Linked DNA regions of Arabidopsis thaliana. The protein of the gene in region 1 interacts with the protein of each later gene in a pairwise test. Each region holds a gene or a part of one and is shown on either strand. Other genes may lie near its edges.

Evidence for each region.
Region 2: the proteins of RABA5b (region 1) and REP interact in a two-hybrid assay, tested with the Arabidopsis thaliana proteins (one large-scale study listed by BioGRID).

Annotation. Positions count from the first base shown.
Region 1 is NC_003074.8:2,371,493-2,375,246, forward strand, and holds RABA5b (RAB GTPase homolog A5B), read right to left. Parts: upstream 2,065-3,754; 5' UTR 1,991-2,064; coding exon 1,657-1,990; intron 1,313-1,656; coding exon 993-1,312; 3' UTR 825-992; downstream 1-824. Other genes in the region: AT3G07400 (lipase class 3 family protein), read left to right, coding at 1-465, 573-746; NS2 (asparaginyl-tRNA synthetase 2), read right to left, coding at 2,687-2,929, 3,006-3,135, 3,209-3,273, 3,353-3,538, 3,624-3,754. UniProt on the Arabidopsis thaliana protein: Intracellular vesicle trafficking and protein transport.
Region 2 is NC_003074.8:2,035,570-2,039,493, reverse strand, and holds the start of REP (Rab escort protein), read left to right. Parts: upstream 1-1,702; 5' UTR 1,703-1,831; coding exon 1,832-2,547; intron 2,548-2,667; coding exon 2,668-2,790; intron 2,791-2,905; coding exon 2,906-3,005; intron 3,006-3,090; coding exon 3,091-3,129; intron 3,130-3,213; coding exon 3,214-3,466; intron 3,467-3,567; coding exon 3,568-3,643; intron 3,644-3,749; coding exon 3,750-3,924. Other genes in the region: RWA2 (O-acetyltransferase family protein), read left to right, coding at 1-86; AT3G06545 (uncharacterized protein), read right to left, coding at 517-593, 684-1,182. UniProt on the Arabidopsis thaliana protein: Substrate-binding subunit of the Rab geranylgeranyltransferase (GGTase) complex. Binds unprenylated Rab proteins and presents the substrate peptide to the catalytic component composed of the alpha subunit RGTA and the beta subunit RGTB.

The DNA.
Region 1 (3,754 bases):
ATTATTCTTGTGCACAATCTCTCTCACAGAATACCACGTTACCAAAACTCAACAACACTACTGCAGCAACAGCAACCAGCACTTGCTCTTCTGTTAGATGAGGTTAAATCTCTTGGTATCCCTTGGGTCCTCGCCATAACAAACAAGTTCTCAGTCAGTGCCCATCAGCAGAAATCCGCTATCGAAGCTGTACTTCAGGCATACCAAGCGTCTCCAAACACAACCGGAATTGTCAACTCTATCCCTTATATTATTTCTGGCTCTGGAACTTCCTCATTGCCTTGGGCAGCTGTGAATGCGGGAAATGACGGATCAGTAGGCGTACCGAAGATGATATTCGCTCCACTCGACCTTGTCAAAAAGCCGTTTCAGAGAAAAGACACTGTTTTTCCAGTGGATGGTGTGAATTCTCTTTGCGAGCTTGTCCATCGTGTCCTTCAAACTCAAGAAGAAGCTTGCTTTGAGGTATTATTACTCTCTTACCTGATTCAGTGCTTAATGAAAATAATGATATTGATGTCGTTGTAATGCCCAAGTCACTTCAATTTTATATCTCTCCATTAAACTTTCAGGAACTTGCTAGAGACAGACTGCTGGTGGAACTAGCCAAAGACCGTGTCGTAGATGGTTCACAGGCCAAGTCATCATCAATGTCAGCAGCAGCTGTAGGTGCTTCACTTGGAGCTGGTCTTGGCCTTGTCTTGGCAGTAGTAATGGGTGCTGGTTCCGCTTTACGAAAACCCTGATTGTACTTGATCAACCATTCCATCTGTTAATGTTATATATTTTTCTATGTACATAACTCCCACTAAAGTTCATGTTTTCGCCATTTTCTCTATTCGGTCAGGTCATTTTTGTTTAATCCCTCGGCCAGAACCAATGTGTAGTATCAAGACAAAACAGATTGCAAGTATCTTATTATAAGTCTGACTTCATAAATGATAATTATAACCTTATAAAGCTTTCTCTGGTAAAAACAAGATTGATTGAAATCATCGGGAGCAACAAGACGGATTCCGCCAAGAGCTCTCGGAGCCATCTTGGTTGTTGACAAGGCTGACCCGGTTAACGGAAAGCTCTGCTTTGTAAGCATCAGAGTTGAGAAGTTTGCGGCTGACATTGTTGAAGATCTCTCTGATAACGATCTCAAAGGCTTTGTCTACATTTGTGGCGTCCAGAGCCGATGTTTCCATAAAGAACAATCCTTCTTCCTCCGCAAGAGCTTTCCCTTCCTCCACACTCACCGCTCTTATATCCTCCAAATCGCATTTATTCCCAACTAGCATTTGTGCCACTGCCGTGTCACAATGAGCTTGCGAGGTAACAAAACAAAGTGTTAGGGATTTGTCTTGAATTCACAAACAAATAATCTTAAACTTGAGGAACAAAACAGAGTATCTTCTCAGCTCAGTGAAACCAATCACCTCTCACTGCCTCAAGCTAAAAATAGAATCAATGAAGAATGACCCAGATTCATAGCAGCAGAATCCACTAATGGTGATCAATTCTAAGTGTTTGGATTCACAAACTCCAAAAGATTGTTCCAAAACAGAGAGAGAATAAGAGCACCTTAGTCATTTATAGAATCCATCAATGGTGCTCAACGACATCAACAGATTTCCTCAGAGAAAAGAGTGAGAAGGGAAGAAGACTTACTGTTGAGTTCCTGGAGCCAACGTTTAACGCTTTCGAAAGTGTCACCTCGAGTGATGTCATAAACGATGAGAGCACCAAAAGCACCTCTGTAATAAGCAGAAGTGACAGCTCTAAACCTCTCTTGACCAGCAGTGTCCCAGATCTGAGCTTTCACTTCTTTCCCTTCGATTTCAACCAGCTGCGTCTGAAATTCCACTCCGATTGTCGCTTTTGAGTTCGTGTCGAACTCATCCCGCGAAAATCGAGACAGCAAGTTCGATTTTCCGACAGCGGAATCGCCGATTAGGACAATCTTGAACAGGTACTCTTCTCCTCGGTCATCTTCCTTACCCATCTTCTTCTACTTCTTCGAGACTGTGGAGAATTTTTTGCAAGCTTTGAAGAAGCTTTGATAAGTGGTAAAGTGGTGACAGACAAGCTGCGTGATTGGCGGGGTTTCCTATAGACAAACTCATTAAATTCTTAATTAATTACGTTTAAAGATTTTGATTAGTGCCAAAGTTTAGGCTTTTTTAATTTTGCTAAAATTCGAAAACACCTAATCCTCTTAAAATTTGCTAGATAACATTTAATTTTCTGAAAATAAGTTTCTATTAAATGAAGAAAAAAATATACATTTCTCAACTACATTTCCATAGTTTCCTCATATTTATTTCAACCACCATATTCAAAATTCAAACTATATTTCAAAAGCTTACAAAAACCTTTATCAAAAAAGAAAGAAAGAAAGAGTCAAAAACTGCTACCAGCCAGTTTTATACATCTGACTACACAAAATTGACTAGTGAGGGAATCACACAGAAATTGTGTGGCTGGATAACTATTTTTGAATCAACTATAGAACATCAAATCTAGTCGCAGTGAGTACAATTTTGAGTAGATATGTTATCAATACAAATATACTAAAACTTGGTATAGGATTATGAACAATTTGGTATAGGGGTTCCTTATTATTTCACACCCAAGTATGGTTACAGAGAATACACAACAATGTAACTTCAAGTTTGTACATAAATAGCTTGAGGCTGCTTTAATTGTTTGCTTTGCCCCAACTTCTTGGGAAAGGAATGGCATCTTTGATATCAGGAAGCCCGGTCGCATACAGAAGCATTTGTTCCATGCTTAGGCTTATTCCTGAATGTTTCACTGTCCCATGCCTCCTTAAATCTAAGTACCACTCGAACTTCTCCCTCGTGAATCCGGATTCCCCGATCCTCGCATCCAGAATCTCAAACCGTTCTTCGTTTTGGCTCCCGGTGATCACAACACCAACCTGTAAAAAACGTGAAGACTTTTGACCCTGCAACGTCCTAATTTTTGATAAAAGTGTTGTTTGGTTCAGTTCTTACCTTTGGTACGACCAGATCAAACGCTGCTACAGTCTTCTTATCATCATTCAACCTTACGTAAAACTGTTTAATTGCTTTCGGGTAGGTATGTACAATTACAGGACCTTTGTAGATCTCATCAGTCAGATAACTGCAACATTGAACGATACACAGAGAATTTAAATCGGATCTTGAAACAAAGACTCAATTGGCAAAAACAATACCTTAGATGCTCTGTTGTTAAAGCAACTCCCCACTCAGGCTTGGTTTCAAATTTTGTAGTGGTTGCCTGTTTTAGAGAATCAGATCATTATGGTATAGCAACACACCAGCATATAGGAACTGTATGGGATTTGAGAGTGATTTACCTTTTGCAGAAGACTAATCACTTCGGTATAGGAGAATCTCAAAAGGGAGCTGGATGCTGTTGCTTCGAGACGTGTGGTGATGGTCTTGTCAACTCGTTTTGATATGAATTTCATGTCTTCATCGCGATTTTCCAGAACATATTTGCAGAGGAACTTGAAGTATTCATCAGCACAATCCATAGCATCCTGTAACAGTCAAACGAAACAAGTTACCATTTGTTAAATATCATTGAATAGCATCTACCGAAAATCAGTGTTATAAGAATCTTACATCCAATTCCGCGAAAGCCATTTCGGTTTCCACATTCCACTTCTCTGCCAAATGCCTTGCATTGTCAATTTTATCAGCTATGAATCTTGGTCCAAAGGTATAAACTTTTCCAAGTGCAGAAGCATAGCTCT
Region 2 (3,924 bases), 340 kb from region 1:
CCCAAAAACTGGTAAGTCAAAATTTTATCTTTTTGTGTGGGAGAAAGCTTTTTTTTCCCTGGTACTTGAGTTCATTGATATGTTAGTGCATACACAAAGCGAGGACGAATGTCATCCTCTCATATTCGATTGAACCATCTCACGTTTTATTATTTCACTGGAAACAAACAGGTGTGAAGCACTTCTGAACCGGACCAGAGTGGACTATTCGAATGAATTCATAGGAGTTGAACTACGCGATATGGTAGATATACGAAGATAGAAATCAGAGGTAGATGCATACAATGTTGCTGTAATGTCATCTTTCTGTATATTTATTTATGAATAAGGTGTTCTTTCTTGTTTATTTGTGTTTCTGTTCACGATGATGTTAAGACTTATTATTGTCTATTACAAGTTAAAGGAAATCCATATGAGTAATTGTATAGCTATAAAATCCAGATTAATCTTACATCAAAGTAAAATATGATGGACTTGCAAAAGCCATTACTTTAATGTAAGGAAACATTGATATACTTAGATAGAAAGTGTAGTCATAGCATGTGTGTCAAGCTTGTCCTCTATTGCTCGGTAGGCAGAGAAAGTGTCCGAGTCTTCCCATTTGGAGAAATTATACGCGGGCCCAAAGGAAAGCAAAAAATGAGGTACTGATATTAAAAACAATAACAGTACCTTATAGTCACCCCGGTATAGATTGTTAGACATGCTAAAGAGACAAGATAACCAACCGAGGAAGAGCGTGTACAAAGCATGTCCGATCTCCATCCTAAACTTATCCGATAGCTGAATCAGCCCTAACCCTCCGGTGAACAACGAGATGGTGAATAACGACATGGACAATTCAAACTCTTTGTTTGTCAATAGCTCATATATTAAGGGCAATGCCAACGCTAAATTTGCGGAAAATGTCGAAAACAAAACCTGAGGTACTCTCTCCAACTTTGTAGTAAACTCCTTGTAGCAAGCGGAAGGAGGAGCGGTGAAAAAAAGATATCTGAGTAGCGTCACTGCGTAGAATGTTGTGACACTGACCGCACCGTCCCTAAAGGACTGAGACGATGAATCTCCAGGTGGCCAGAGAAGATTGAGTGATTTGGAGAGGCCAAAAAGTGAGAGTAGAGTCATTATATACCATATTCCTCTGCAAACAAACACATCCATATCACTAATCTTCTTCTCCATCGTGTGTGTGTTTTTACTAGGACTATGGGGTTTCGGAGATTTAATAGTCGTCGTGAATTCGTTTTTCGATTTCTTTTATTTAGTTAGTTAAATCTGCTTTTATCCAGAAGAATGTGGTATATCTCTATTATTAGTTAAAAGTGGTTAGAAGATTTTCATAATCACAACAAACAAAAGAAATCTTCGCAATCTTTATCTAACACTTTTTTTTTTCAAGATATATAAAATTCTTTTATATTCAACAAAGAAAATAGTTCAAAAAATCACATTATAAGTGGACCACTGACCAGTAAAGTGAACGAAGAAAGTATAAACTCTATTTTCTTCAATTAAACCGTTTATATAAAAAAAAAAATCATATTTTAAGTTTCTAACATAAGAAAAACAGTAGACCCTATAGTCTATGCGTTGATTAAGAAGATGGGCCATGTTGGGCCGATTCACACTTACCTCTTTTATTCATTTACATCTTAGGCCCATTACGTTTGTATATGTAATGTAAGAAGAAACTTCTTCTTCTCTTGAACCTCTTCCTCGATTCTCCTCACTCATCTCAACATCTTCCCAGATTATTCAACGCTCGTGTATCGATCAAGCTACTGAAGTCACGTTGGTTCGACTTTTGATACACAAATCTGTTCGAGCCACCATGATCGACATCCCTCCTTACCCGCCGCTTGATCCTTCCAACTACGATCTCATTGTCGTCGGCACCGGAGTCTCTGAGTCCGTCTTAGCCGCCGCTGCTTCCTCCTCCGGTAGTTCTGTTCTCCACCTCGACCCTAACCCCTTCTACGGCTCTCACTTCGCCTCTCTTTCCCTTCCCGATCTCACTTCTTTCCTTCACTCAAACTCCGTTTCTCCTCCTCCGTCGCCGTCATCTCCTCCTCTCCCTCCGTCAAACAACCATGATTTTATCTCCGTGGATCTCGTTAACCGATCCTTGTATTCCTCCGTGGAGATTTCGAGCTTCGAATCGGAGATCCTCGAAGAACACTCTAGAAGATTCAACGTTGACTTGGCTGGTCCTAGGGTTGTCTTCTGTGCCGATGAATCAATTAATCTCATGCTGAAATCAGGAGCTAACAACTACGTTGAGTTCAAGAGCATCGATGCCAGCTTCGTTGGGGATTCGAGCGGTGAGCTACGAAATGTGCCGGATTCGAGAGCTGCTATATTCAAGGACAAGAGCTTGACTCTGTTGGAGAAGAATCAGCTCATGAAATTCTTCAAGCTTGTTCAAAGTCACTTGGCTTCTTCTACCGAAAAAGATGATTCAACAACAGTCAAGATATCGGAGGAAGATATGGAGAGTCCATTTGTGGACTTCTTGTCAAAGATGCGTTTACCACCCAAAATCAAATCGTATAACCTCCTTCTCTGTTAATGGCAGCTCTTTGGACATTTGTCTCTGCTTAATGCTTCTTAGAATTTTGTCTCTGAAATGTTGATAGGTAAGGCTTTGTTTCCTCTTCTTCTGTGTAGGATCATCTTGTATGCCATTGCGATGCTAGATTATGATCAAGACAATACGGAAACTTGTAGACATTTACTCAAGACCAAAGAGGGGATAGATCGATTGGCTCTATACATCACATCTATGGGCAGGTCATTCATCATTTTCTCATTCCTGGCTCTTACACATTTGTGATCATCTTTCTTATTGGTTTACATTATCATTGGTTATATTGAGTATAATTTAGCTTTTGATTCTCTACCTTAGGTTTTCTAACGCACTTGGGGCGTTGATATACCCAATTTATGGACAAGGAGAACTTCCACAAGCCTTTTGTCGTCGGGCTGCTGTCAAAGGATGTATCTATGTACGTTTGGAACAATTTTCTGCATTGTGTACTGTGTTGCTGTTGTGGTATTTGTTACTTATTTAGTCTTTCATTGTTTTCACAGGTTCTCCGGATGCCTATTACTGCTCTGCTTTTAGACAAGGCAAGTTAGCTGACAGTTGTAGCATAAGATAAGTTTAGTTGACGGAAAGGATTCTTACTTGATTATTTTAAACTCTTTTTGCAGGAAACTGGGGGTTACAAAGGGGTTAGATTAGCTTCTGGTCAAGAGATATTCAGCCAAAAGTTGATTCTGGATCCATGTGTTACTGTTGGATTAGAGTCTCTGTCGTCATTGACAGATCAGCAAAATGAAACTCTCAGTGTTCTTGTCCCAAAGTCGATGATCAATAAGGAGAAAATTGCAAGAGGAGTATGCGTCATTAGAGGTTCTGTGAAAGCTAATGTATCAAACGCTCTTGTCGTTTATCCACCTAAATGTAAGCTAATTTTTGAAGACCCACTAGTTAGTTGTTTCACTTACATGTATATCGTCTTTTGCGTTTTGAAGGTTCTAACATTAATAGTTTTTTCCTCTTAGCTTTGTTTCCAGAACAGCTAACTGCAATTCGGGTTCTGCAGCTTGGTAGTGGTTTAGCGGTTTGTCCTGCTGACATGTAAGTTGTGGTTTAGCCTAAGATGATCTTTTCCCATTTTAGTTCTGTTTCTTTCCATTTGCTTAGCTTTAACTGTTCTCTAAGCCATATATATTTGCTGCTGCAGGCATGTTTTATATCTTTCAACTTTGTGCGACAATGATGACCAAGGGATAAAGGCGCTATTATCAGCCATGAGTAATCTCATCAGTTTGCCTGTTCCCGAGAATCGTCAAAGCGATTCCGTTGTTGAGAATGATACTTCTGAGACAAAACCTATTCTACTCTGGAGAGCACTGTAC